Canis lupus familiaris: one gene and its partners. The protein of the gene in region 3 interacts with the protein of the main gene of each other region in a pairwise test. Links are inferred from orthologs where the notes say so. Each region holds a gene or a part of one and is shown on either strand. Other genes may lie near its edges.

Region 1 (8,924 bases), on a different chromosome or scaffold from region 3:
GACATCCCAAGTAACCTTGGGCAAGTTTCTGAGGTTTCCTTGATTCCAACTTTACAACATAAGTGGGGAAAAAATAGATAGGTAGATAAATAGATAGAAACTCAGTTTAGGCAAAAAGACATCTGCAGTTCTCATCATCATTACTTTGGCTTTGAAAACGACAGCTCAGAGACCCCCCACCACTTTTTAAAATTTTAAAGACAAAACAGTATCACTTAATGGTTCTGCCAACACTTCAAAAAATCAGAGAACACAACACTGAATTTTTTTTTTCTCTTCGTCTTCTTCTTCTTCTTTTTTTTTTCTTTCAATTTTGGCAAAGGAAGATTCAGTTCCTGGAAATGCTTACAAAATGATTCCTGACACTGGGAGGAGATAGTTTAAAAAGGAAGAAGGAGATGGCAAAGAAAAACTACATACATATAGAGATCAAGGAAGAAGGTGGAAGGAAAGAAAAAAAAAAAAACAAAAGGAAGAAAAGAAAGAACCAAAAGAGGGAGGGAAAAAAGACTTTGAAGGGCCCCAATTCAAGGAACGTTATCAAGTTCCCAGCATCTGCAATTCACCAGCCGCTCTCGGGTCGGGGAGGCGCAGACCCCGCCCCTTTCTCGGGTGTCGGGCGCCCATTGGTGGGGGCGGCAGTCGCCGACCGGTGACTGCCCGAGGAAAGGTTGCCTGGGACACGCATCCCTGTGTGAACGCATGACGTCCCACCCTGGCGCCAGGCTGTCTGGGGCTGAGTCTTAGATCAACACAGCTGTGGGACCGGGACCCACAGCTGGGCAAAGGAGCGGATTCCTCAACAAAAAATAGGATTGTGAGAAAAGTTCTGAAACAAAAACAGCGCAGACAAAAGCCTTAATGACATCCTTTCATAAAAATAAAAAATGCAAGAGGGGGGAAAAAGCTGGTAAAAGGAGCAGAACTGGGAACAGAAAGTTCAGAGGCATTTGGAATAAGAGGCTGAGGCCCCGCCACCACTAAACTAGTTGCAGAAGGCCCGAGCTAGCCCCTCCAGTCTGCTGTTGGAAAAAGAAGTCTCTAGGGTTCAAACTTTATTCAGTGTCCCCAACCGTCCCCTGCTTCTTTCAGAATTAGACTCTTAGGTTGGAGAGGACCCCTAGAGGTCTTTTGCACCCCTCTCCCTCCCCCTCCCCGCCCGGTCCCCCAGTTTTGCAGAAAATTCTGCCCAGGAAGGAAGGAAACTCGTCCAAGGCCACATTGCAAGTTATTGGCATGGCCAAGAGAGAATCTGCTTGCTAATCCCACTGCATCCTTCTACTGCCTTGTGTCACACAGCCCATGGGCATTTCAGCCTGAAAGCATCTTGGGAAATAGTAAATGTGAAGATGCTTTGCAAACAGGTACGCGAGCCTGAGGCATCAGTGGTAGCAACAGAGGAGGGGAAAAGGCAAGAAGAGAACCTGTAGGGACCTGTGGACTGAACACCTAACACACACCTGGCCCCATGCTGTGTCCCCAGGCACTAAGGAGACTACCAGATCTGGTGGAAAGAGCATATGTCAAGTGCCTTGCAGAGCAGAGGCATGCAGTAATTATTTGTTGAATAAATGAGCTAGATCTAATTAGCCTTCGTTTTTATAAATTGGGAACTTGAGGCATGGAGAGTTGACTTAGTTCAACATCATTAGTAAAAGAGAAGAACCGGGATTTGAACATAAATCTGCCTGGCTCCAAAGGCCATGATTTTTCCAGAACACCCTCCCCCCCAACCCAGGCTTGACCATTTTGCACAAACCACGGAAGTCTGCGTGATAGAAAAGGAAAGGGTTTTCTATTTGGTCACTCAGGAGTCTGCGGAGCCACCATTTTCCTTTCCCATGACCAAATAGCTGGCATTCTCTTCTTCTGACGTCTGTAGCATTTATAGACTGACTTGTGCACTTACAGGTTATTTTCTTCTTCCTCATGCTAAAAAGTATAAGAAACTTGGAAACATTAACATTCTAGGGAGAAATCTTTAGAAGACCCCTTTCTTGGGACACAGAACCTTGTGTGGTATGATGGCAAACAACGGGACTTCAGGGCTGAGTCTACCATTAGCTGTGGTGTGACACTGGACATGTTTTTATAGCCCCTCTCTGAGCCCTTTACTACCCCACACCTGCCTGTCCAAATTTCATAAAGCCTTAGATTTCTAGTATTGGGAAGGATTTAAAATAATCACTTAGCACCATCTCCCCATATTAGTCACAAGGCAACAAAGGCCAGGGTAAATGGGCTTGTTCAAGATCGCATGGCTATGTGGATTTCCAGTCCAGCGTCCTCTCTACCATTATTATTTTGAGATTCTCCTAGCTCTGAGCTCCCATTGTCCTTTTAATTAGTGCCACATACTATAGAAATCTTAATTGTTTCCTGTGTTAATCTTGTCTCCCCAAATTGTGAGATTCTTGAGAGCAGGAGCCACTGTTCTGTGTAAGATGACTCCATAAATATTTACCAACTGATTGATTTAGGAAGCAACCATTGGGGGAATCCCACCTGGTCAGTTCCAAGATGAAAACCAGCATTTTGAGGCTGCAAATTCCCAAAAGTTCTGGGAAGTGACAAGAAGACAAGAATACTGAGTGCAATGTCCTGTTGCAATACAGGGCTTAGCTTCCCTGTTCTCTGATCCCTTTCCTGGGCTCTCAGATAGAGCTGGAGCTATTTCAGTGAGGCTAAGAATAATCAAGTCCAGGTGGCCCTACCCTTCCATAGCAGAAAGGGACAGACAATAGAGTGATGAAATTACCAAACTATTGTTTTCTGCATAGAGGTGTGTGGAAAGTGTGGGGTGTGGGGGGATGGCAAAGCAAGAGTTAAGAGATTGACCCCCCCCCACGGGGGACCCCTTGAAAGATTGATACAGAAATCATCTTGTCTGTCGCCCCATATTTAAAACTCGGTCTAAGATTTTAATCGAACTCACTTCCAAAACACAACTGGCAAATATTTGGCTCCTTATGGAGCGCATGGGGCCAGAGGGTGGGAGCTCCTTTCTCTCCCCATGCAAAAATCACGGATTCGGCCTGCTTTCTTCTTCTTCTTCTTTTTTTTTTTTTTCCTTTTCCCCTGTTGCTCAAATAGTGTTCTTTGCTCAAACCCCCTTCCCCTCCTCCTTCTGCAATCTCAGCCCTAGCCCAAATCTGTTTTCTTCATTGTAAACTCAGCTTCACCGCAATTAATTTTTTTTCCCCTCTGGTCACAAGATAATTCCTGACGCCAGTGAGTCTGGAGGTCAGACGAACAGCAAATTGGGGAACAAGGCGGCACTAATTCCTTACAAGTTTCCCTTGAAAAATCCTTTGCTTTAAAAAAAAAAAAAAGCTTCTTTGCTGTTCAGGGATTTATGACCTCAGAGGAGCTGTGGGTTCGAACTAGTGTTGGGCTGTGGGTGGACTGGCAGGGGGCAGGGGAGCTCAAAGATCTGGGGCGCTGCCAGGAAAAGGCAAATTCTTAAAGTTAATGGTTTTAAGTGATTTTTTAAAATCCTCGCTGGCAAAGAGGCCTGCCTCTCCCCAGTATCAGCGCTTCCTCATTCTTTGAATCCGCGGCTCCGCGGTATTCGGCGTCAGACCAGCCGGAGGAAGCCTGTTTGCAATTTAACCGGGTTGTGAACGCCCAGGGCTGGCGGGGGCGGGGCCGAGGCGCGCGTTTTGCATAAAGGGGCGTGGCCCCGACCGGGCTCTATAAGTGGGGCCGCGGCCGGCGTGCGCGCGTTGCCAGCTGCTGTCGGGGCTCCCTGGCTCTCCTGCTCCTCTCGGCACCTCCGGCCTCACTCTGCAATATGAAGGCGCTGAGCCCGGTGCGCGGCTGCTACGAGGCGGTGTGCTGCCTGTCCGAACGCAGCCTGGCCATCGCGCGCGGGCGCGGCAAGGGCCCGGCGGCCGAGGAGCCGCTGAGCCTGTTGGACGACATGAACCACTGCTACTCGCGCTTGCGGGAACTCGTACCCGGAGTCCCGCGAGGCACTCAGCTTAGCCAGGTGGAAATCCTGCAGCGCGTCATCGACTACATCCTCGACCTGCAGGTGGTCCTGGCCGAGCCCGCCCCTGGACCCCCCGACGGCCCGCATCTTCCCATCCAGGTGCGTGGGGGCGTGCGCGGGAGGTGGGGCGGGCTCGAGCTCCGGAGCCGGGATGCTGCTTGGACTCCTGAAACTCCCAAACGCCGGGCATCACTTTACCCTCTTTCTCCTCGTCTCAGACAGCCGAGCTCGCTCCGGAACTCGTGATCTCCAACGACAAGAGGAGCTTCTGCCACTGACCTGGCAGCCCTGGCGCCTCCAGGTGAGTCTCCCCGCCGTCGCCCAGGGGGTGGGGGTGGGGCGGTGCTTAAAGCGACAGATCTTGGAACTGGTTGGCCTTTTAAGCGATTATTGCCATCTCAGTTTGGGGAAAACGGGGCGAGGGAGGGGCGAGAGTGGCTTAACCCTCGGTTCCATCAAATGAATGACAGAACCAATTCCCATCCAATGTGCGTTTCCACCTTCCGCGCGCTTTGCCCCTGCCCTCCCCCAGTGACCAAAGACAGGGGGAAAAGTAGGCGCAGGTAAATAAAAGAGCCGTTCTGTCCGTAGTTGGGAGTGTAGGCTTCTCCCAACTAGTGTCAATTCCAAGAGGGCGGGGTGGTTGCAAGCTCCGCCTGTGGTCCTTTGGCGCCAACTGGGTGGGGGCAGCTTAGGGCTCGGAGTTATCAGCTGGAGGTAGAGACCAAGTTTCCTCCCTGGCGCCGGGCAGTCTGCGGACGGCCCCCGCCTCGGCGCGCTCGGCGGAAACTGATGGCTCCCTGGTCTTCTTTCCTCCCCCGCCCAGAACGCAGGTGCTGGCGCCCGTTCCGCCTGGGACCCCGGGACCCTCTACGGCCGGAAGCCCGAGGGCATGGATGGGCCCCAACCTCGCCCTGCCCACTTGACTTCCCCAAACCCCCGCCTCGAGGCTGGACCTGGCGCCCGGGAGCGGAGGACTGTGAACTTGGGTGGCCTAAAGAGCCAGAGCTAGCTCTGGGCACCAGCTGGGCAACATCTCCCAGCCCCCACCCCACCCCCAAGTTTTAAAGACTGTCTTTCACAGTGTGGAGTTGGGGGGGGGAGTGGCTGCTCTCCAAAGTCTGCCAAGGCAGCAGTAGAGCTGGTCTTCTGGTCTCCTTGGAGAAAGGCTCTGTTGCCCTGATTATGAACTCTATAATAGAGTATATAGCTTTTGTACCTTTTTTGCAGGAAGGTGACTTTCTGTAACCATGCAATGTATATTATTAAACTTTTTATAAAAGTTAACATTTTGCATAATAAACGGTTTTTAAACACTTGAGTATATGAGTATGTAATTTGTTTCCTTAAATGCTAATGCTCTCATAAGGCTGAATGTAGGGGAAATATAGATGTCCTTCTTGGACCTTGGGAAAAGCAAACTTGCTTATTAAAGGGAGATGGAAAAATGTCAACTAAGACTGGGGGCGGGGGCAGTGGAAAGAGCTCCTGCTTGGGAGCCTCATATCCATTAAGGGTGGGTGCAGAGAAGATCCTGGCCCTGTCCCCTCATTTTGTGGATGAGGGGAAGTGACTAGCACAATCTCACCCGGCAATTTGGGGGCTCGGGATAGAAATTGGGTCTCCTGAGTCCCAGTTTCTTAGGTCCCTTAGCCGTTTTGCTACATTACCCGATGGCTGTCCTCTTCAATGTCGTTAATTATTCATGTCTTTCTAGCAGGGGATGTGGAAGAGTGGCGTCTCACCTGGTGCCCAGACAGGGGTGGTGGTTGATAGACCCATTTCAGAGATGAATAAGCAGATCAGGGCCTGGTTTCATTTCCCTCCTCATGCTCTCTGGTTTGGCTTCCTCTTGGGCTTCCAAATTTGGAAAAAGAAAAAACGGGAGATGGGTTTTTCTCATCCCTCAAATCCCCAGCCACTCTGATCAGAATGATTTGGATGCTGTTTGGGGAGCACTAGTGTACCAATCCCTCTTCTACCACCAGGTAATTGGAAGACTGAGCCTAAAGTGGGAATTTGAAGCAGCAGCCCCACACCCCTCATTCCTTCTGATATTTCCTTCCTATAGCACCTCCATTGGGAGTCTACTCTGTGAACATCTTTATTTCAGAAATGGAGAAACTGAGGCTCAGTGGATAATGGGTCTGGGCCAGCTTCTTACAACCCCTTGAGAGAAAGATGGGATTTTAACCCAATGACAGTGACTACAAATGTAGTGGAGAGCCTAAGACTGGTCATCCCACGGTGCCAGGTCCAAGAGTGGGGCAGAGGGCAAGACCCCCAAACCACACCATCCCTCCTTGCCCCCCACCAGGCAGCTCCCCAGGTGGGCTCCACCAGGCTCCTGGCCTCACCAGATTCCTGTTTATGATATGAGCTCATCTGTGTTGGCCCCTGGCATGAGTTACTTCAATATTTCATAACAAACAGGTCATGTCATCACCCTTCATGCTTTAACCCTGGTGAGCTTTCAGGGGTGAACAGGGGCATGTGGTGGGGAGGCAATCTGTCTTTGCCAATCAGCTGACCAGCGATTCCTAACCTGTTTTCCTGGCTTCCTCTGATGTTCTAGTGGAAGGTATGCGCACTCCAGAAAATATATACACATACCTTTGCAGAGTGTTAGCAGACCTCTAATCCCCTAGGAAGTCCTCAGCCCCCATGTGAATAACTCCTGCCTCAAAACCAACCTGCCTCCCAACCTGGGTCTACCTTGGTTTGTTTTGTTAGGTGTGCTGTGCTGGCTCTGGTGGCAGCCATGCAAGGGTGCAAATTCTTGCTTTATCACATCCTAGCTGTACAATGCAGGCTAGAGACTGCCTCCCTTGACCCTTGGTTTCCACATCTATGTAAGATTGCTGATCCTGAGCCATCTACTCTGAGGCACCTGGCCCTACACGAGACCATTAATTGCAGGAGAGCCAGGCACTGAACTCTTCATCCACCCTTACTGCCACAGCATGCTGCTTCCTGCTCACTCAGAAGCTGTGGGACTGGGGACGGCTAGAAAAGAGCCAAATGGCTCATCTGCCATGTGACCTTGAGCAAGCCACTTTACCTCTCCAAGCCTCTCTCCTTCCTTTGCCCGACAGCTGGCAGTTCTCTTACAGCCTTCTCCCTGGACAGAAGATAATGGTGGGAAAGGTCTTTGAAATGCATCACACACCTACAAGGTATTATTAAGCTAATTCCAAGGAAATTGCCTGTCAGGTCTGCTGAGACTGAGCTCTTCAGGTGGCTGGGACAAAAGCTGAAACCAGGATGCCAATTCATTAGTCATTAGAGAGTGAAAGCAATTTGGCCGCGGGTCGGAAAACTCTCAGAATGAGGATAGTGTCGTCTGTCATAATCACCTACCGGGTGCCTGCCAGGTGTCAGGCTCTGTTTTATCTTAATTTTTTTCTAATCCTCACCACAACTCAGCAAAGCTGGTATCTTTATTCCCATTTTACGTAAGAAACTGATTCAGAGAGGCTGAATAACTCGATGCAGGTCACACCGCAAAGAAGTGGCACAGCAGGAATGAGTAAACCCAACTCCACGTAGCTTCAAAACCTATTCTCGTGTCTACTCCAGGACAGCTCTCCTCCCTGGCCATTCCCTGCACCTGGTACCTGTGCAGTCCCCAGTGGGTGCTTGCTGAATGAAAGACCCAGGGCCATCGCGGGGTCCCTCTCCCTCATTTGTGATTGGGGTGATTGATGGTACTTCTGTTGCAGGTTTGTGACGCGGATTAGAGGTAACGCGCGCAAAGGAAGCATCTACCAGGTTCCCCGAAACACAAGATTCACTATTAACTGTCTTGCTTCGTGATCGCGTCGACTCTGAAATAGGCACCTTTGGAAGAGATTTTTTACTTTGTAAATAAAACAGGACAGGCAGGCTCAGAACGGAGGAAGGAACTTGCCCGTGGCCACACGGCTCCTAAGCAACAAAGCAGGGATTCAGATCCATGCCCGTGACACCGGGGACGGTGCCCTTGAGAGGAGGCCGGTTACAGGCGTCCCCAGCTGGGGATGCGCCCAACAACCTTCCATTGTGCGCGTTCCCGGCCTCGTCTCCGCTCCCGGCCAGCGCTCGCCTGCGTCGCCCCGGGCTCCGCGCTCGGGCCTGCGGGCGCTCGCTCCTGCCCGCCCCGCGGCCGCCCCGCGCCCTCCGCCGGCGCCTCTCGCCGCAGCTCCTGCGGCCGCCGCTCGCAGCCCGGGCGGGGGCGGAGCCTGGGCCCCCACGTGGCCCGAGCCCGGCGGGGCGGAGGCGCGCCCGCCCCGCCCCCCGCCCGGCGACCCGCGCTGCCCCCCCGCGGGCCCTGGGGGCCGCTCGCAGGTGTTCGCTGGCGCCCGGATGTCTGAGCTCTGGCTCCGCTCTGGCTCCGGCTCCCTCCGCAGCCTGCGGGCGGGGCTCCCAGCCCATCCGGAGCCTCGCGGCGCCCCCGCCGCTCTGCCAGCAGCGCGGCCTCCCAGTTCCCAGCCTCCCGGCCGGGCCCCCCCACCCAGCGGAGTCGCTGACCCCACGGCTCTCCCGCTGCCCCCAGCTGCGCTCGGGCCGCTGCAGCCTCAGCGCGCCCCCACCCCGCTTCCTGCCTGGGCAGGCTTTGCCCTGGCCCGGCGGCCGCCCTGGATCGCACCCCCGTTCCTTCCTTCCTTCATTCTTTCAGGCAACTCGCATTCCTCGAGCGCCTGCGACGTGCCCCGCACAAGGCCCATCCGACCTTCCGAGGGTGGCCCCGGGCCCGCTGGGGTGCTCCGGGAAGCCTCGCCCTCCGCCCCAGTCTCCCTCCCCCCCGCCCCGCCCCGCTCTCCTCTCCCGCGTCCTATTTCACTCACAATTTAGCGTTTCATGGTTCTCTGGTTATTTCTCCTCCTGTTAAGGGTCAGTCGGTGGCAAGGTCAAGGGGTCTCCTTGTGACCCAAATCAGAGGTCAGTCTGA
Region 2 (9,978 bases), about 39 Mb from region 3:
GGTGCCCGGGGCCGCAGGGGGAACGTGTGGGCGTGCCTGGCCACGCGCTGCCCCCAGTCCCAGCTCTGAGGTCAGAGGACATTTTGGGTCCCTTCTCTCCTCCCCAAGGAGTGACTCACCCTTCCAGTTATAGGTTCCCGGGGCCCCAAAGAGGAGGTAGTGGCTGTCGGGGGAGAAGGCGGCAGCTGTGCCCTGCTGGCAGAACCCAAACTGTTCGTGGCCCTGGGGGCGCCCCTCACAGAACTTCCACTCCCCGCCATCCAGTTCATCGCGGGCGGCCAGGTCTTGGCTCAGCACGAAGCAGCGGCCGATCACATCCCTGGTCTCCAGGATCTGGTCTACTCGCTGCCGCGCCTCGTACCGGTGCGCGCAGGTCTGCAGGAGGAGGCAACGCGGGTGGGCGCACCTGCAGACGTCTGCGGAGCACCACTTCCGAGCATGCACAGCGCAGCGACATGGGTCACTTGGGTACCACCCCGCCCAGCGTCAGGCAATGCACACGCCCTGGCCCTACACTCACTCCCTCGTCCCCGCAGGAAGCGGCCTTGTTCCCGCTCTGCCCTGGCAGGCACTCGAGGCAGGACTAAGCTGGCACACAGCCCCCAGACCCGCCGGACCTCTGTCCCCACCGGGCCAAGCTGTCCTGCCTCTGGGCCTTTGTAAGTGCCCCCACTTTGCCCTCAAAGAACTCCCCTCGCTGTGCGCTGGGAGCATTGCTCATTCTCCGAAGGCTGCCTGACACCTCCACCCTCTCTCCACGCCTCCCTTGGACGTTCACGCACTGGGGACTGGACTGCTCACATAACATTGGCCACATTCTGCGCACCGCGACTCACAGTAGTGTGTTTGTGCATATCAGTGATGATACAGAGAAACAGAGAATGAGTCTCCATAACGATGCGGTCGGCTTTTTGAGCCCTGGACCAGGCTTTACACTTCGTGTCTCAGTAACTAGCACAAGCCTGATGCTTAAAAGGTTCTCAGTAAGAGTTTAACAAATGGGGGTGCCTGGGGGGTCAGCGGTTGAGCATCTGCCTTCGGCTCAGGGTGTGATCCCAGGGTCCTGGGATCGAGTCCCACATTGGGCTCCCTGCATGGAGCCTGCTTCTCCCTCTGCCTGTGTCTCTGCCTCTCTCTCTGTGTGTGTCTCTCATGAATAAATAAATAAAATCTTTTTTAAAAATCTTTAAAATTAAAAAAAAAGAGTTTGACAAATGGACAGATGGACGGTTAGATGGTTTTAAATTTGTAGGGACACATACTGTGTCTTGTAACTTTGGTCCTGGGAATCAGGCCATCGTACCACACTCAAGCACACCTGAGCACAGGGACATATGGTTTGTGCCATATACACACACACACACCTTGCACACAGTCCCAAGAAGTGGTACTCACGACAATCTTCCCCCCAGGTCCCTGACTCCGAACGCTGACTCCCAACCACTGGTTCTCCTTACTCTCCTTCTGCACATCAGCTAGAGGCAGGACAGTGGGAATGAGGAGAGGGAAGAGGAGGCCAAGTCCTCTCCTTCCCCTTCCTGTGCCACACGCCCCCAACCCTGCAGGGTCTACACCTCCACGGTCGATGTCCACTCTGTAGCAGTCAGTCTCTTCCAGGCTCAGGGGGCAAGCAAAGAGGCCTCCGGTGCGATTCGCCTGCTGCCCGGGCAGAGCCAGGGCCTGCGGAGCACCCACCAGCAGCCTGCACAGCGGAGCAGGGGCAGGGGTTAGCAGCCGGAGTGCTGTGCCTCCCCAGCACTGCTCAGGCCCAGCCCCTCCCAACCAAGTGAGTGTTGAAGAACTAAGGAGGAGCGCTGGAAGTCCATTTCCCTGAGTCCTGGCAAGGGCAAATTAATACCATGCAATCATCACATTACATAAGCACAGACACACATATGCCCTGGATGAGGGCCCACACGCACTGTAGACACACACACACACACACACACACACACACACGTGTGTGTGCACACATGCCAAACCAAGTGGCCTGGCCAGCACAGCTAGTTTGAAAGAACCGCCTGTTCCCAGCACCTGTTCCTGACCAGGCCTTCCCTACCCACGTCCTGGCCCATCCCCAAGCTCTGCCCTCCTCCCCAAGCCCAGTCCAGTTGGAACCCACCCAGAAATGCCAAGAATGCTGAGAGCAAAAGTAACAGCGTCCCAGGCTGGCACCACGAGGTGGTCCAGGCACCAGCTTCAGAAGCCAAGGAAGAGGCTAGATCCGGGCCTGTTTCCCCTTCGTCAGGGACCCAACGGAGACCCCATCCCCCCAGCAACACTGCCAACCCAGGATTGTCTCAGTCACTCCAGCTGGCATGGAGGTAGGGGCAAGTTTCTCATCTGTCTCCAGTCCTACCCCCATTTTTCTGCCCATACCCTGAATCCCCTTCCCCATTGTTCCTTGTCCTCCCCACATCCATGATTTTCCCCATTCCTCCCACCCTCCCTGCCCCCAACCCTATCCTCTCCCTTACCTCCCCCTCAGACACTTTCCCAGCTAGAACTTTCTTGGCAGGACAATTTTCCATGATCACAGCCAAGGCTTCTTCCCCAGGGGAGGACTATGCTGGGAATGGAGGTTGCCTGGGTCCCCTGGGGCTGAGCCCCAGGCTGGGAGCGAACGAAGGGGTAAGGTGAGGTGACTGGCACCCAGCTGACTACAAGGATCTCTCTCCACAGAAGGAGGGACTCAGAAGTAGACGCAGGGCAAACCTCAAGGCCTCTGTCCCAGTCTTTCCTCCGTCTCCCTTGCTGGGGGACAAGGCCCAAAGTTGTGTCAGACAATATTGCAGACAGGCATCTATGGGGTACTCTGCCAGTTCTGAGGGGGAGGGGAGGGCACAGAGCCACTCTCCCTTCCCACAGCTCTGGTCTCTTAGCAGCTGTCATCCCGCGTCAGAGCCAGTGTCCAGGGAGAGGAGGGGGCGGGGAGTGGCAAGGAAGCGGGCATGGTCGGTTGGCACTCATTACCAGCCTGTGTATTGAGACCCTATCACCTGCCAAGCCCTGTGTCAGGCACTGGTGAGACAAGGAAGTAACATTTATTCGGCACCCACTGTGGGTCAGTCCCTAGGCTAGATGCCAGGGATATGAGGACCTAACGTTTGTCACCCTCTGCCTATGCTCCAGGCATCAAGCTAGGCAACCTACATGCATTCTCTCATTTAAGCTTCCCAACAATCCTATGTGAGGATTCTTCCCGTGTCTTTCAGATGAGGAGACTCACTGAGACACGTTAAGAAGGATGCTGGAATTCAAATCCACATCTGCCCAATTTCAAAACCCATGCATCTTCCACCATATGCAACCAAATGATGAGCCATCTCCAGAATACCGAGACCACTCCAAAACAAAAAACAAAACCAGTAGGAAGGGGACGGGAGGGTATCCCACACAGAAAAGGAAACCTGGTGGCGTGGCCAATCTTGAGACAAGTCCGCAGTACCCCCAACACACACCTCCAAACTCAGAGATGGCCATCTCTTGGAGGACTGAGGCTCCCTTGTTCATCTTTGTGCTTGCCCCGTTGGATGCATGTGGACTCATCTGTAGAACATGCACGTTATGTGGGCTCACAGGCACACCCACTGCCTCGCCTGGTCAGCTCATAGCTAAGCACCAGGAAAAGCTACAATCAGCGCTCAGTGTTCACATCTCCCCTAGAGGTCTAGAGTAGGGAGGAGAGTGGAGGGAAGGGTTCCACAGGGAGGAAAGGAGCTGGCGCATACACATGCCCAGCCTCACTCTCAGTGGGGAACAGACCAGCCTGCCCTCCCTGGAACAGCCTCTCTAGTCCCTCCACCTCTGCCCCAGCCACACACTTTTCTGGCTTCGTCTCACAAACCCCAGCCACCCAGGCCTCTGGACAGAACACGAGCCACAGCTGTAGCCACTGCAGACAAAAGCTAGAGCGTGTCAGCAGCTGGGGGCAGAGGGATTCCCTGAGAGCCTAGCTAAGTGGAAGCAAAGGAGTAGCCCACTACCACTGCACCTCTCAATTCTGCATGCGCTCGAAGGCTCTGACCGAGGCCTGCCCTCCCTGACTCTCAATCTGGGTGGCCCTCTGGGGAGGGTGCTTGGCCTGAAAGCTGACTCAGCCAGGGCGATCTAGCCAAGCCTTTGGATCCAGGCTTGCAGCAAGGTGCTATAGCTATTCTCTAGCTCTTTGGAGCACGACATGATACGGGAATAACAGTGCTAACACTTCCAGAGCACTCCCTCTGGGCCTTACGCTATTCTAATGGTTTTATATATACTAAGAATTCTTAAACTCCACAACCACTCTATCTGGGAGTCCTACTGTTTAACGCCATTTTACAGTTGGAAGATACAAATGAGGCTGAAACCACAGAGCAAAGAAGGTTTGACATCAAAGTCTCATCCAAGAGCAAGACTGAAAGACATCAAAATGGGTGAGGCTTTTCAATGGGTGGATGCTGGTGAAGGTGACCTGCAACTCAAAAGCTAGGGACTGAGCAAGGAACCTGGTGTCTCACATGCCACCAGGCAGCACAGCACCCCTTGCTGGAGCAAAAGCAGGCTTAGGCAGTCAGGCTCCTCTGGGAAAGCCCCCAGCTTGGCTTTGGGAGACCTATTCGGGGGCCACCTTCAGAGAGGAGGGGGAAATAACAAGAGACCAAGCTATTAAAAATAACCTAGAATTTGCCTGGAAATAGCTCAGAGAGTTCAGCATGTCCTAAAAAGGCCTCCAGTCCTGGAACTCTGGCAGATGGGGGAAGAAGGGAGGGAGGGAGGCAGAGATGGGGTAGGAAGCAGATAGAAGACTGAAGAAGAAATGAAGTCAGTTGCTTTTTATCTCTCCCAAAGTTTGGGGGAACCACTGACCATGCTCCCTGATGACAGGGGTAATGGAAGAAGAAAAATTGAGACCCAGCCTCTCCTCCCGGAACGGAACGGGAGGGAAGAGAAATGAGCTCCTGTCCCTAGCCTCTGCCCTCAGGCCAATAGTGCCGGGGAGGAGACAATCCCAGTGGACGGCATTGATCCCAGTAATGGACACTTAGTGTGGCTTAGGCCCTAGCCTAGGAAAGCAAAGCCCCCTGGCAGGAGGGGGTGGGAAGCTTTCTTCCCCTTGTCTCTCTTCATAAAATCATACGTGTAGCAGGAACCAATAGCACAGGAAACATGACAGACACAGGCCCCACACACATGTGCCCATCTCCCATGCGTCTGAACTGATCAGAAAATAACTAGGATGGTTCTCTGCCCCTCACTCCTCCCTGCTTTCCCCCACTGCTGAGATTCCTAGACCTGGCAATTTCCTGAGGAGGAGGAAGGGGAACAAGCTGGCCCAGCATCTGTCCTGGATCTCGCTCTCACTCCTGCTGCTGCTGCTGCTACAACTTTTGGGGGCTCTGTTTCCTGCCACTTTATCATCAAATCATCTACTACAGGTTGCCATAGTCTCCCAGGTCCTCTTCCAACCTTCCCATGCTCTTGAGTCACAGAACTAAATGGCAGGGCTCTCCTGGCCTCCAGTGTCCTCCTGTCTTCCCTCTATGCCATGGCGATGTTCTGATGGAGGTTATTTCTGGGGTCCACCCTCCATCCCTCCCATGGTGTCTTCAACGTCTTTCTCCTTTCCCTCTCCTCCTGCCCGAAGCGGAGACAAGAAGTCCAGTCCCCCTTCCTGACAGTATCCAGTCCTCTGAAGGAGGGGAAGTCACAGACCCCCGGGGCTGGAGCACGGATGCAAGTTTGGGGGAAAGGCAAAAGGAGAGAGTTCCCCGTCAAGAAAGGAACCTCGCTCTCCAACTCACCCCCAAAGCAAGCCCCTGATCTCAGGCCCTGAGGGCGCGCCTCCGGACCCGCGACCGAGGAGGCAAGGTTGAAGTGCGGGTTATCTACGGACAGCCTGAGTCGACGTGGGGTTGAAAAACGGAGAGATGGGGAAGGGGAGGGATGTGTGGCTCGGCACGGGGACCCTGGGCGGGTGCTGTGACTCACCAGCTCTGGGGTCGGGGCTGCAGCTGCCGGTGCAGAGCCACCGAGAAGCCGAAGAGGCTCCCCGGCTCGCCCTCCTTGCTCAGGGCGCCCGTCACGTCCAGATTGAAGGCGACAGCCCCCGGGGCGAGCAGCGCGGCCAGCAGGGAGCCAAGAAGGCATCGGATCCCGGGCGGCCCCCAGGGACCACGGCCCCGAGCCCCCGCCATGCGGCGAACGCTGGGCGCGCTCCCCACGAGCGCAAAACACTCGCTGGTGCCGGAGCCCCAGGTCTCCCACGGCGGCTCTCCGATCTCGAGTCCCGCAGGTCTGAAGGGGCCTCGCAGTCCCTCTCCTCGCCACCCCCCTCCCGCCGCCAGGCCGCCCGGCGCCCCCAACACCCGCTAGGCGACTGCGGCAGCCGCAGCCCAGGCGTGCGTTCCGGCTCCCGCCTCCCCGCCCCCGGCCCCGGGAGCCCCGCCCCGGCCCCGCCCCCGCGCGGCAGGTGGAGACTTCGCGGCGTCGCAAAGGGGTGTCCAGGCTGGCGACCCTGGGCGGGAACCGGCCTCGCTCGCCCGCCCGCCTCCCCCCGCCACCCCCCCACCCCCGGCTTCGGCCCCGCCCCCGCCCCCGCCCCCGCCCCCGCCCGCGCGCTCCTGCCCTTCCCCCTACTCCGTCCCAAGCCCGGGAGTGGTGAGGGCGGCGCCCGAGAACGGGGACAGAGAGGACAAGTCCAGATAGAAAAAGACCGAAAAAGAGAAAGGAGGGTGAGAAACGAGAAGTGCGGGAGGCTGAAGGACAGGCTGGGGGGAGAGGCCGACCGCGAGATGAAAGGGGAGGGTCCTGTGTGGTCCTGGCGCTCCCTTCTCTCCAGGGTCGCGTAGGGCGCCCGGCGCGCTGCTCCAATCAAACGGTCCCATCCCACCCAGAGACCGGCAGCGACAACGGCTGTGCTAGCCACATCCCCAGCATTCAGGCGAACCGAGGAAAAGACAGAAACAAGAGGAGAGAGAAATTCAGCAGGTCTGGGGCGGAGAGCAAAGAAGGCGGGTAGAAACAAAGAGAAAAGAGAGAAAGAAGAGCGAGAGTTTGATCAATGAGGAATTGAGGGGGCGCCTGGCTGCCTCATCCGAAGAGCCAGCGATTCTTGACCTCGGGATGGCGAGTTCCAGTCCCACCTTGGGCGCAGAACTTGCCTAAATAAATAAATAAAAGGAATGGAACGAAGGGAGAAAAGAAAAATGACTGAAGTGATGGATACAGGAAGAGGAAATCAATTAAGCTGGGGAAAGGGAGTGAGGGGTCCAAGAAGAGCAAGGGCAAAGATGAAAAAGATTGGACCCAGAGGCAGAGACATGGAAAGGTTGTCTTCGGCTCTCAGGCCCCTTCCCTGAACTGACCGTTTCCCACCCTCGGACGGGGAGGGAATGGAGAAGGCAGTGCACCCCAGTCGGCACCAGGCGGGATCTGGGTGGGGCTTTGCAAGGATCTCCACCGGGACCAGCAGACCTGCCCCTCTTCCTCTCCCTTCCCGTCAGGCTGAGACAGAAGCAGAGGGAGGGGGGACATTTTCCAACCCTCTGCTATTTATAACTCCAATCCAGAAATGGGGCCCGGAGGAGAGATAGGAAATAATTTGGCACAACTGGAACCTCTCTTGCTCTCACCTCCCCTTCTCCCTGGGCGTTGGTCTTGTGTATATCCACCTGTCCTCTTTCCTCTCCCTCTCTATCTGGTTTTGTCTCCTCCCAAACTCTAATTTTGTCCCCCTTCTTGTCTCTATCACCTGGAACCCTTCTCCGATGATTTCTCAATGTCTCTAATGTCTCTGTCCCTACAACTCTCTCTCTCCTATCCTTAAGGTTTCATCTTCTCATGGGGCACCTCTGGCTCAGTCGGTAGAGCATGCGACTCTTCATCTCAGGGTTCTAAGATTGAGCCCCGTGCTAGGTGGAGAGATTACTTAAAAATGAAATCTTTAAAATATACTTTTTTTCTCTCCTCCCTCCCTTTCTTAAAAGCTCCAGTGCACTCTACCTAATTTCTCTTCCCATGCCCCTTTTGTCTCTCTTACTTCTTTGTCCAAGATTACCCTTTTTTTAATTTAAATTCAATTAGCCAACATGTAGAACATTCTTAGTTGCGGATGTAGAGTTCAGTGATTCATCAGTTGCACATAACACCCAGTGCTCATCACATCATGTGCCCTCCTTAATTCCCGTCACCCAGTCACCCCCTGCCCCCACTCACCTCCCCCAAGATTATACTTTTAAAAACACACAAAAAGGTAGGCTTTCTCTCTGCAGGCCCTGGGACAACCCTTGCCTGGGCAAGTTACTAAGCATTTAAAGATTTGGGCCCCTGTTTTTGCAACCTACACTATAGGCATCCCCTCTAGGGGACTAGCATGCCTCTAAATAGGTGCTATCAAGGAAACACATGCGCTGCCAACAAGCAGGCACCAGGATCCTTTCTTATCCCCAGATCTGCCCTCTCCATCCCTTTTCTATCGCAGAGCTCCAGACTGTAGAGCTGATATGAGAATGCAGAGTAATAAGATCAGGATAGAACCCAGGACTCCTGACTCTGAACAGAGATCTCCAACCAGGGTCAAATGCCTTTAGAGGCCCAGGTGCCTTCCTCTCTGCACCTGCAGCTTCTGCCTCCCTTCATCGCCACCCTGCTGGCTCCTGCTAAATCCAAGGCTGAAATCAGATGCCAAGAATCTGCTTCTGACCTCCTCTGCCCAAATATTTGAGAAGTCATCTCACCCACCACAGGAGGAAGGAGTGGGGAGAGAGAGAGAGAGAGAGAGAGAGGCTCACAAAATTAGCCTGGCTATAAATAGTGGGGCAAAGGAGGGCGAAGGGGGGAGTGCAAGAGTCCTAGCCCAGCCTAGTAAATTTAGACATGTCAATTTTCCCTAAAGGAGGAATGAGACCAGATTGTTGGAGTGGGGCACAATGTTGTAGAAGAAGGGGGGCCACGGAATGAAGAAGCTAGAGGATCTGGAGAATGAAGGAAACTCAATGTTTGAATAAGCAACCTGCCAGAGAACTTCTTGTATTTGAGTTAAGAGTTTGAAAATTCATGAAATTAAAACCAATTAAAACTATAGAGATGACAAACAGATTAGTGATTGTCAGGGGACAGGGATGGGAGGAGGTGAATATAAAAAGATAGCACGTTACACCGTGCTAACATAACATGGTGTGTTAATTATACTTCAAAAAATAAATAAACAGGGGGGCCTGGGTGGCTCAGTAGGTTAAGCATCTGCCCTCAGCTAAGGTCATGATCCTGGGGTCCTGGGATCCAGCCACATACTGGGCTCCCTGCTCAGCGGGGAGTCTGCTTCTCCCTCTCCCTCTCCCTATGCTTTTCTCCCAGCTTGTGCTCTCTAATAAATAAATAAAATCTTTAACAAATAAAATACATACATACATACCCAAAAAAAGAAAGCTCCTTTGTGGTGATGAAGAGATGTGTATCTTGATTTTGGTGGTAGGTTTTCAAGTCTATACACTTGCAAAAGGGATAAAATCGCATAGAGCTACACACACATACACATACTTACACACGTGAATGCACGTAAACACTGATGAAAACTGAATAAGGCCTGTAAGCTAGTTAAAAGTGTGTGTATGTCAGCTTCCTGTTTTGAGATTGTGCTACAGTTATGGAAGATGTCACCAGTGAGGGAAGCTGGGTGAAGGGTACATAGGGCTTCATGTATTATTTTTTGCAACTTCCTCTGAGTCTATAGCTATTTCAAAATAATTTAAAAAACTGATTAACATTCAAGTCCAGCAAAGGCTTCGGGCCTATCTGATTGGAAGCTGAGGCTTTCTCTAGCCCTTTCCCCCTCTAACAGCTTTCTTTGCCTCCATCTGTGTTCCCTGTTTTTCAGCTTCCCCGGATTACACATTTTCCAGCTTCTGCCTCTAGCTTACAAGCAAACACTTCCAGAACACACTGCAGGGTTAACTTCTCCCTCCACCTCATCTGGCAGCAGAGCTGTGGAGCATATGT
Region 3 (9,951 bases):
CTCCTTAAGGATATATTACCATCAAATATTAGTGTTTATTGCCAATGAAACTCCCATTTAAAAAGTAATTATTACAATAATTAATTATGCCCCTATGCCACATATCAAGGATAGAAAAGGACTATTAAACCTGTTTCCAAGCCAGTATCACAGAAGGGAAAAGTACTATCAACAAGGAAAACTTCTGGCTCTTTCCTAAGCATCTTAACACTTCTTATGCCTGAATTAAACACACCAGTTCAGTCCAGGAAATATTTATTAGGCAGCTGCCGTGTGCAAGGCACCATGCTTATGTTCAGGGTATGATCAAGAAGGTTACCACTTTGCCCATGCTCTTGAGAAGGTGCTGGAAGTAAGGGAAGAATTTTAAAAAGAAAAATAAAGGGTAAGTGGGAAGCAATCACTTTTATTTTTCAAAAGGATTTTATTTATTTATTTGAGAGAAAGAGAGCAAGAGAGAGAGCGCAGCAGCAGAGGAAGCAGCAGAGTCCCCGCTGAGCAGGGAGCTTGTTGTGGGACTTGATCCCAGGACCCTGGGATCATGACCTGAGCTGAAGGCAGACGCCTAATAACTGAGCCACTCAGGCACCCCTTTTACTCTCATTTTTAAGATGAGGTTCTTTCTCAATGGTGGAGACTTTTCCAGCAATCTCTGATCAGATTCCTGGCAGCCCTGGCCCCATCCTGCCTGGGTTCGGCTTCCCCATCTGCTGGTTCTGAGCACTTCGCTTCTCAGCACCTGGCTGTCCTTATCTATAAGCCAGGAAACCAGGAGCACTCCTTAAAGAGCTGCTACATGGATCACAAGAGCATGTGCATGTGTATGCACGTGTGCACACACGAGTAGTATTCACTACAGTGCTGGCCCAGGCAAGTGCTCAGACATCAGCTACCGTGACCTCTCTGGCCCAGAGTTTCATTCAAAGAAGAAATTCCATTTAATTCCAAATGGAATTAAAATTCCATTCTAAATTTGGAATTGAAATTAGTCCCAATTCAGATTCTTTACAGAGGTTTGTTTTTCCTTTTTTTTTTTTTTTTTTTTTTTTTTACTTTGGAGAGCCAGGACACCTCTTCATTTCCTCTTACAAAATGTGGGCTTATAGGAATGTTCAAAGAGAACAAAGAGCAGCATTGTCCCTAGAGTATTACTGCTACCCCTCCCTGCCCGATGCATACACATTTAGCTCATCTCGTACCCGTAGGACACACCTTCAGTCTGCGGTTGAATCCCATTTGCTCCCATCCCTGTATCGTTCACATTCTTCCCCACCTGTCTGTGCTTTCATAATTCCTTACTTCCTTTCAGCTCCATACCTTTGTCGGTGTAAACTTTACCCATCCATGTCTTTCCTACAGGAATATCGCCCACCATTCCTACAGGATGCATGCGTGCCATTCAAACACACTATTCATTGCATATGGCCTGAAGATTGCTTTTTTTATTATTCTAATGCCAACCAGAAGGTCCTTGAAGCCAGGCCAGTTTGAACTTGGTTGAACCTTCTGCAGGGGATAACACTGTTCTAAGTCAGTTTCCTTACCTGAAAATAATAATAATAATAATAATAATAAATAATAATAATGCCTGTAGGGTGGCTGGGAATGTTATATGAACTAATACTAGTTCCCAGACAAAGTGCTCAGTCAATAAATTATAGCAATTGTTTTTTGAAAAGCTGACCCTAGTGGCTGTTTATTTATAGTTTTTGTAATAAGCAGCAGTAATTAAAGTGCTTTATTTTTGCATGGATTTTGCAATTTAAAAAAAAAATCCCATGGTTAGTATCCGTGTAGGAATTTAGCAAGCTATTTAAAATGTAGAGAAAATATAAAATTACAAATAATCTTACAAGAAACAATAACTTTGTATATTTTAGTATATTTTTTCAGGATGTATATTACACAGTTAAGAGCATATATTATACATATAGGTTTGTGTTTAAAAATTAAAAATTCTTTGCAAATTTTATTTTCAATTATTGTATATATTTAATACAATGGCTGTATCACAATTTTTTTAACCAAATTGTATTCGAGCAGTTGCACTAATCATTTTAATGGATACATATATGTTGTCATATAGCCCTGTCTGCTTTCATACTATCCACTTTGTTTTACTACAAGGGATATGAATTAGAAGTAGAATAATCAACATCATGGATTTTTCTTTTTTTGTGTTCATGCTAAACCATAGACTGACATCTTGAAATTAGTCTGAGACCAGGCAGAAAGTGCTCTGGTGCCTCTTGCTTCACATTAAAATAATCAGTTCCTCCTGCCTCTTCATACACCCCTACCCCCCTTCCTGCTGATTAGACGGGTCCCAGGCAGGGAAAGAAGGCTCACTTCCTAAAGACCAAAACGAAATTCTCACTTTCCCCTTAAAATCTAATTATACGTGCCTTCTTAGTGAAACCCGTGGAGTGTATTTTATGAGTCTTTGGCTTGGTATGGTTTGCTTTCAGTGTAACTTTTCAGTATTTCCTTTTTACTGTAAAAGTATTCTGTTAAAATGAATTTTTATTCCTCTTCTCTCTATCCAAAATTTATCTTTTAAATTCAACAAAGCCCCAAACTATAAAAATGTACTCAAAGTTAAAATTGATCTTTGCAAGCTTACACTTAAGATAATTAATGATATTTATGAAATACATCTGTCAAATATCAAATTGCTCAGAACTTATGTTAGTTCCTTTCTATTTTTCATCCTTATTTGGTATATTGGAGACTAAATGATAAAAGGCTGATGAATCAGTGATAATGAGGAAGAAATCAGCCAAATAAACTTTTAGGGGTCATGTAGATCAAGGCACAAGATGGTTGTGTATTTTTACTATTCAGTGGGTTGCATTAGTAGTGTAGAAATTAGCATATTGCTCATTAGCTCCTGCAGGGAGCCTGCTTCTCCCTCTGCCTGTGTCTCTGCCTCTCTGTCTCTCATGAATAAATAAATAAAATCTTAAAAAACCCAACTAGTTATATCCTGATAAAATTGCTTATCTAAAGCTTAATTTATGTTTTTTTTTTAAGTTTCCATCATTCTAATTCCCCATCATTATAAGTATTTGAATATTCTGGCTAAATGAAAGAAATCACAATGTCATATAAAGATAACTAATTTCAAAGAAATAAAGTTTGAATGCTTGGTGAAAGGACATTGATCATAAATTTAACAAAAAGCAGATTACCAAATGACCTGATGATATATTTTTTTCTTAATTAGAAGTTATAGTTCTCCATATAATTTATTGTTTTCAGATGCATCCTAAAATACATCAATGTGGAGTGGTATATAGTGAGAATTTCCCCCCCCCACCTTTTTTTTTTTTTATTTTATTTATTCATGAGAGACACAGAGAGAGAGGCAGGGATACAGGCAGAGGTAGAAGCAGGCTCCATGCAAGGAGCCCAATGTGGGACTTGGGATTCTGGGATCACACCATGAGCCAAAGGCAGACGCTCAACCACTGAGCCACCCAGGCGTTCTTTCCTTCCCTCTCTTGTAAAGCTAGTGTTAAATTAGTGGCTCATCTCAAAATCAAAGACTTCTTAGAATCAAGAAATAGGATAAACAATAAATGTAGTAAGACCACACATAATTTTTCATTTTCTTCTCTCTGCTGGTCTGTATTTTCTGGCATATATTTGTACAGTAAGATACAATGAAAGAAAATATAAACACTATGAATATAATTTCACCTCTTTCTTTGGTGGTGTTAAAAACAGGACAACAGGCCCCAAATGGAGTCACTTATATTAAGCTCCACGTCACCAAACACACCTAACCTAAGTACAATTTTGGCCTCTTCCAGTAATGGAATTTTAAAGCAGTCAGAACTCACCTGATGAGCATTAGTTAGGTCATCTGCCTGATAGAGCCCTGTCATCCTCTAAAGGAAAGTAATGTTGGAATAAACAGTCCACTTTTTTTGTCCCATGTACCTTCCTAGTTCCTGTTCCCTTCTGTCTGTAAAGGTCTTCAGTTTTGTACACACTGCACAGCCCTTTTCTGTCTGCTGGGTGGGATACTGCCCAATTGATGAATCATTGAGTAAAACCAATAAGATCTTTATAATTTATTTGGTTGAAAAAAATTTTTTTTGACGGTGGGGAGAGGACAATTTAAACTCAGTTTCTTGGCCATCTATTTTAAATCTGAAGTATTTTAGACACCAGTAGACTATGTAGGTCCCTGTGTTAAGAGCTATCAGATTACAGAGAGAAATATGACGTGGCCTAGCCTCAGGATCTGGAACCAATGGAGAACTCCAGAAGCACTAAGTGGGATGAAGAAATCTAATAGTGCAAAATGCATTCAAAAACAGGCAAGATTGAGTGAGCAGTCAGGGAATATTTTAGGGGAAACTATGCAACTCTTCATGAAGGTTATACATTGAAGCATTTTCTTAATATCAGAAAAGGCCTCGAAAATGTAATTGTGTGAGTTGAGTAGCTGGCTACTGCTTTAAAGACAAAAACTCTCCTAAGATTGGATGGATCTCAAAATGTAATAGGTTTGATTACAGCACATCATGTTATAAACCTAGCAATAAAACAAAATTCAAATAGCATTCCTCAAGAAACAAATAAATAAAATAAAACCAGAACAAACCTATATAGAGCAAGTCCATGATAAAATAACATCAGCCAATAACGCAAGTGTTAATACTATCTTTTGACCTCAGAATTATTTTTAAAAAATGGCCTGGTAATATCTCTTTTTATTGGATTAGACCTGATAAGGTGCCTTGCATGGAGTATGACTAGAGGATGTTAACATGTATGACACCTATTATCAGAATATGCCATCTTATCAGTGTTAACATTATTACACAATTGGCCCAAGCATTACTCAATACTGTGCATTTGCTCACATCCTGCTCTAGAAATTAGTAAATTAGTAAAATGTGAATGCATTTCCTTTAAGCACACAACAGCTATCTGTACTTTGGAACCGTCAGCCGTAACAAGTCATCTTGTATAAACATACTTTCCCAGCCTAATCAGACTCCTCAGTAATTTGCCTCCTCACCCCAGGCCATCCGGAAATTCTGTCAAGGAGAAAAAGCTCCAGGGCACTGTGGTTTCCCCCCTCCCAATGTTTATTTTATACTTTTTTTTTTTTTCTTTTTTCTTTTACAAAAAGCTTCCTGGTGTTCAAAACTCCGTGTAGTTCCTGTTTCCCCGTCTGAGAGGGTAAGATGAACGGAGGGTTCCCTCCGTGTTCTTTCTACTCCCGGAGGCACCTGCCGTGGGTTTGGAGCAGCGGCCAGGGCCAGGTTCTGTTCCTTCCCCACAGCCCCGCAGCCCCGGGCAGGAGCTGGCTGCAGGCGGGGGCCCGCTGCCAGGCCACTGGGGCTGGGTTTGGGGTCTGCAGGTGCACAGTGCCAGAGAGCTCCCTCCCGGGGCAGGAGGCCGCACAGCTGGCAGCGAAGCCTGGGAGGACACAGGGCACAGGGAAGGAAGGGGCCCCGGGGAGGAGGAAGCTTACCTGTCCTGTCGTCTGCCCTCGGCGAGCCCAGGGGCCAGTGGGGAGGCAGGGCCCACGCTCGTGGGCTGCTCCTGCAACTGTGTGTGCAGCTGCTGGCCAGCTGCCGCCTCGTGTCAGCAGGGCTATAAATAAGGTGCTGTCCAGAGCCCAGAGATAAGAACCCAGCCCCTCGCTCCCGCGAGCCTTTTAAGGTATCCAAATTAAAGGAGCCTCGGCCCCCAGATGGGAAGGGGTGCCAGCTCCCCATTTGGCCTGCCCACCTCAAGGACACCCTGGGCCTTGCACACAGTCCAGCAACCCAAGGAGGAGTGAGAGGGGAAAGCCGAGCGCTGGGAGGGATCTCGCTTGGTCAGACAAGTGGTGGAGTCCCTGGGGGGCTGCAGGGGCTCGGATGCTGGGAGACCCCCCCACCCCGAGATCAGGGCCGGCGCTGTGGTACAGAAGGGGGAGGAAAGTCATCCAGGCCACACAGTGCCCTGGGGTGTGCTGTGGGTTGTCAGCGCTGCCTCTTGCTAGGAGCACACGGACCCTCTTCCCTGGCTTCAGGGGTATTGGTTTGGGTGAAAAAGATTCTAGGGGAGATTCTAAGGGATCGGCTTCATGCTGGGCACGTGGGAGGCCGGGAATGCAGTCTCCTTATAAAGGCCCTCTCTCCCCATTCCCACCCCCCACTCATGCATGATTGGGGGGATTCTTGGGCCACAAATCATTTTCTTTATAGAGCTAATGCAGAAATCTTATGGAGCTTTTTTATTTTTATTTTTTAAGATTTTATTTATTTATTCATGAGAGACACAGAAAGAGAGGCAGAGACACAAGCAGAGGGAGAAGCAGGCTCCCTGCAGGGAGCCCAATGTGGGACTCAGTCTGGGATCCCAGGATCATGCCCTGAGCCAAAGGCACCCAACCACTGAGCCACCCAGGGCTTTTAAAAAAACCATATGCTAGAAGAGGTCAGAGAGGACTAATCTGGGGTAGCAATAATTCCTGATTCACCCCTAAATTTCTTAATTCTGGGAGGCTTTTCAGCCATGGCTGGGGTCAGGTGAAGGACAACTGAGGTCAGCTGTTTGGCAGCAGCTGTCTGCCATATGACAGACATTCCACATCTGGGAATTTATCCTAAGGAAAGGATCGTGGATGTCAGCAGAGATACAGCTCCAGGGACATTTCTTGCAGGTTTTTTAATAATTGGGGAAAGTTGGAAACAACCAAAATGACTAACAACCGAGACTGGTAAAATGAGGAATAGTATAGCCATGAAGGAAACACTGCAACCTTTGGAAATGTCATAGAAGAATATTTAATAACATAGAAACAATATGATGACATGTTGGTAGTGAAAATGCAGGTCACTTTAAGGGAAACTTGGTGTATGTGTGAGAAGTTACTATTGCACATATGCTGAAAGGATAGGCATCCAATGAGGGAATGTGCTTATGGCAGGGTGATGAGATTATGGCTGATGTTTTTTCCTTGGCTTATATGACATCTCTAAAATGTACACAATGATCTTTTATTGCTTTTATAATAAAAACATTGATTTCACTTAAAACTTAAGTTTCTGGGGGCGCCTGGGTGACTCTGATTGAGCATCTGTCTTTGGCTCAGGTCATGATCCCAGGCTCCTGGGATAGAGCCCACATCGGGCTCCTGCAGGGACCCTACTTCTCCCTCTGCCTGTGTCTCTACTTCTCTCTCTCTGTGTGTCTCTCATGAATAAATAAATTTTTAAAATCTTTTAAAAAAATAATAAATAAATAAAACTTAAGTTTCTGAAAATCAGAAGAGAGTTTTCTGTATTTCTGCATTAATGGTCCCAAATTTGTTTTAGGATCACAGAATTCCTTGGGGTCTCTTCACTTTAGAAAGACCTATGTTGGAGTCAGCAGCCTTTTTTTTTTCATGCCAATACCAGCAATATGACGTAGAATGCTAATAGAGTCCCTGAATGCCCCTGTCAAGGCAAAGGTAAGTCAGGAAGAGAGAAAAAAAAAATGCATAGAGAGAAAGAGGAGTCCAAAACTAAGAAAATTTATGTACTAGAGGCAACAGAAAATGCCTATACACTCAGATCGCCTTTATCTAACCTAACATATCCTAATTTATACTCTGGCCAGGACATAACAAAGGCTCTATGTGTATTTAAAGAATATGTATGTCCTGAAGATGCCTTCCTTTTTGATTATATTTGACTTGGGCAATGACCTCCACCCCTGACCGTGTGATAGGGAAGCACCCACCACTGAGATGTGTAATTGGAAGAGGGGCTCCCCTCCCACTGGACTCCCAGGGTTACAGGTACAGAAAGACCCTAATGCTCTAATGGCTTCTCTTCCACGTGTAAACAGTAGAGGGGGGTCCCCTCCATGAATAGGACCTGGTGGATAGCCCGCAGTGGGGTAATCTCAAAGCTTTTGTGTTGAGTTGCTGTTCCAGGAATAGGCTCTGTATCACACACCACCCAGGGACAGAGCCTGGAGTCTGAGGCTGAGCAATGCTCTGGACTCTTCTTTGGATCTTTAGGTGCCAAAGCTTTTCTTGGATGGTCTCCCTAAAGCCTCATCTGTGTTAGCTCTAACCAGATCTCAGCTGGCATGTGTCCTGCAGACATCTGGTGAGAAGGGTAGCTTCACCTCGGGTCAGCCCCTGTATGGGGCACAGGTTCCCTACACAGGGGAAGAGGCCAGTGCAGGAAGGGCTGGAGGGGCTTCCTCTTGGAGAAAGCCGCGCCTGGGGCAAGGCACGGGAGTCAAGGCTGGTGTATGGGCTCAGCAGCCCAGGGGCTCTCCCTTGAACTCCAGTGAGAGCTGTTGGAAGCATCCCCTGTGCTGTTCTCCCTCCTCCGCGCTGACTCACTACCCCCCCTTCAGAGGGGTACGCTGCAGGCACACAGCCTTGGGGTGGGTGGGACATGACGCACCATGCCTGCTGACAGTCACCCCCGGAGCAGGCATGTGTGGGAGGGAACAGCATCTGCTTTGGTGGCTGTGACCCACAATCCGGGCTGTGGTCAGGACTAGATGTGACATGCCGTATGGGATGTGGATGTGGCACTGGCTTCTCTTCCACAATATCACAGAGAAAAGGCTGACAAGTTTTCTTGAACCTGTTTCCCAAGGGACATGTAGGTCTGGAACAGACATTTCAATTCAATTCAGCAAATAGGCATTGAGTTGACCCCAGAACCCAGAAACTGGTAGGCACAGGATAGCAAGAAGACGGAGACCCCCAGATAACCTGTGAGCTCTAGGAGCTTGTCCCTGGCCACCAGCCTTGTTGAGGGCACCCCACCAGTGCCGGCATCTCAGCTCCCAGGCCCATCACAAGGCTTTTGCCCACGGGGTCATGAAATCTCATTCATCCATCAGTATTATTCATTTAAAAAAAATTCGCTGAGGTTCTTTCATGTTGCAAACACCATGGCTAGATCCTGGAGCCTCAGCTCTGAACAAAATAGAAGAACCTCACATCGAGGAGCTGACAGTCTGTGTGTTGTACTCACAACATTGTGCGAGCCTAAGCCCCTGACCTTGAATCTGGAGCATCTTGCCCTCCCTGTCACTGTAGATGCCATTTACTATTGCTGCCTCACAGTCATCACTGTCACCAGTGCTTCTTGCTTTGCATTGGACAAGCTTAATCTCTCTGTGAAGCTGATTCTGCTACTCTTGGCACCTACCACCCTCCCTGGGATGGGAAGGCACAGGGAGTCTCTGCACCTGCCCCTAGCCTGAGGGAGCTAGTCTCTTTCACCCCACACAGATTTTTTCCCCTGTTGGATTAGTAGATTCTGTGACAGAGGAAGATGAGCTACTCAGGGAGCCAGAGAAGGAAGAGTAGATCAGGAGTAGATCAGCTCTGAGTGCTGAGGCCAGAAATCTGGAGAGAACAGTTTCCAGAAGGAAGATAGAACAGAATCAACTCTTGTAGGCTGGGAAGAGCAAGGGGGAAGCGGAGCCTGTTTTTCTGTACTGAGAAGTCCTCAGACGCAGAGGCAGCGTGTGTCCGGGTGCACCAGACGGTGCTTTATGACATGTGCTGCCTCCGCAGTGTTTATCCACAGAAGCTGAGACGACGAGCCTGATACTTGCTTCCGTGTCCTTGTTTTCAAATGAATACCTTTTGTGATCTAACTACTCCATTTGCTATCACAGAAATCTCTACATAAACATTCCCTCTGCACTTCCCCGAGTCATAAACAGGCAAGAAGGGCTGAAGAAATGTCCCATAGTGTAAATATGTCTGCAAACAGCTCTGGAAAGTTTCAACCTGTAAAATAGCATCACCATTTGTTGGTGTGATAGACTCCAGGCCTGTCTTCTTTTTTGAACTTGACTTACACTGAATGAGTTTGGGTGTTGAAAGAAACCAAGTTATCCAGTCAGGAAGCTAACTCCGTAATGACCGGGGTCTCAGGGTCCTGTTAGCTAGCACATGTGCAAGAAGAAAGCACG

Evidence for each region. The genes of interacting proteins can lie anywhere in the genome.
Region 1: the proteins of FHL2 (region 3) and ID3 interact in binary tests that used the Homo sapiens proteins (3 or more experiments, as listed by UniProt). The link is inferred for Canis lupus familiaris from reciprocal best matches to the Homo sapiens genes FHL2 and ID3.
Region 2: the proteins of FHL2 (region 3) and ITGA7 interact in a two-hybrid assay, tested with the Homo sapiens proteins (2 studies listed by BioGRID and IntAct). The link is inferred for Canis lupus familiaris from reciprocal best matches to the Homo sapiens genes FHL2 and ITGA7.

What each region holds. Positions count from the first base shown.
Region 1 is NC_049223.1:75,271,235-75,280,158, forward strand, and holds ID3 (DNA-binding protein inhibitor ID-3), read left to right. Parts: upstream 1-3,730; 5' UTR 3,731-3,793; coding exon 3,794-4,093; intron 4,094-4,212; coding exon 4,213-4,272; 3' UTR 4,273-4,295; intron 4,296-4,820; 3' UTR 4,821-4,859; downstream 4,860-8,924. UniProt on the Homo sapiens protein: Transcriptional regulator (lacking a basic DNA binding domain) which negatively regulates the basic helix-loop-helix (bHLH) transcription factors by forming heterodimers and inhibiting their DNA binding and transcriptional activity.
Region 2 is NC_049231.1:456,428-466,405, forward strand, and holds the start of ITGA7 (integrin alpha-7), read right to left. Parts: upstream 6,366-9,978; 5' UTR 6,177-6,365; coding exon 5,971-6,176; intron 1,703-5,970; coding exon 1,575-1,702; intron 1,476-1,574; coding exon 1,396-1,475; intron 376-1,395; coding exon 120-375; intron 1-119. UniProt on the Homo sapiens protein: Integrin alpha-7/beta-1 is the primary laminin receptor on skeletal myoblasts and adult myofibers.
Region 3 is NC_049231.1:39,046,461-39,056,411, reverse strand, and holds the start of FHL2 (four and a half LIM domains protein 2), read right to left. Parts: upstream 5,636-9,951; 5' UTR 5,495-5,635; intron 5,200-5,494; exon of another isoform or gene 4,105-5,199; intron 1-4,104. UniProt on the Homo sapiens protein: May function as a molecular transmitter linking various signaling pathways to transcriptional regulation. Negatively regulates the transcriptional repressor E4F1 and may function in cell growth.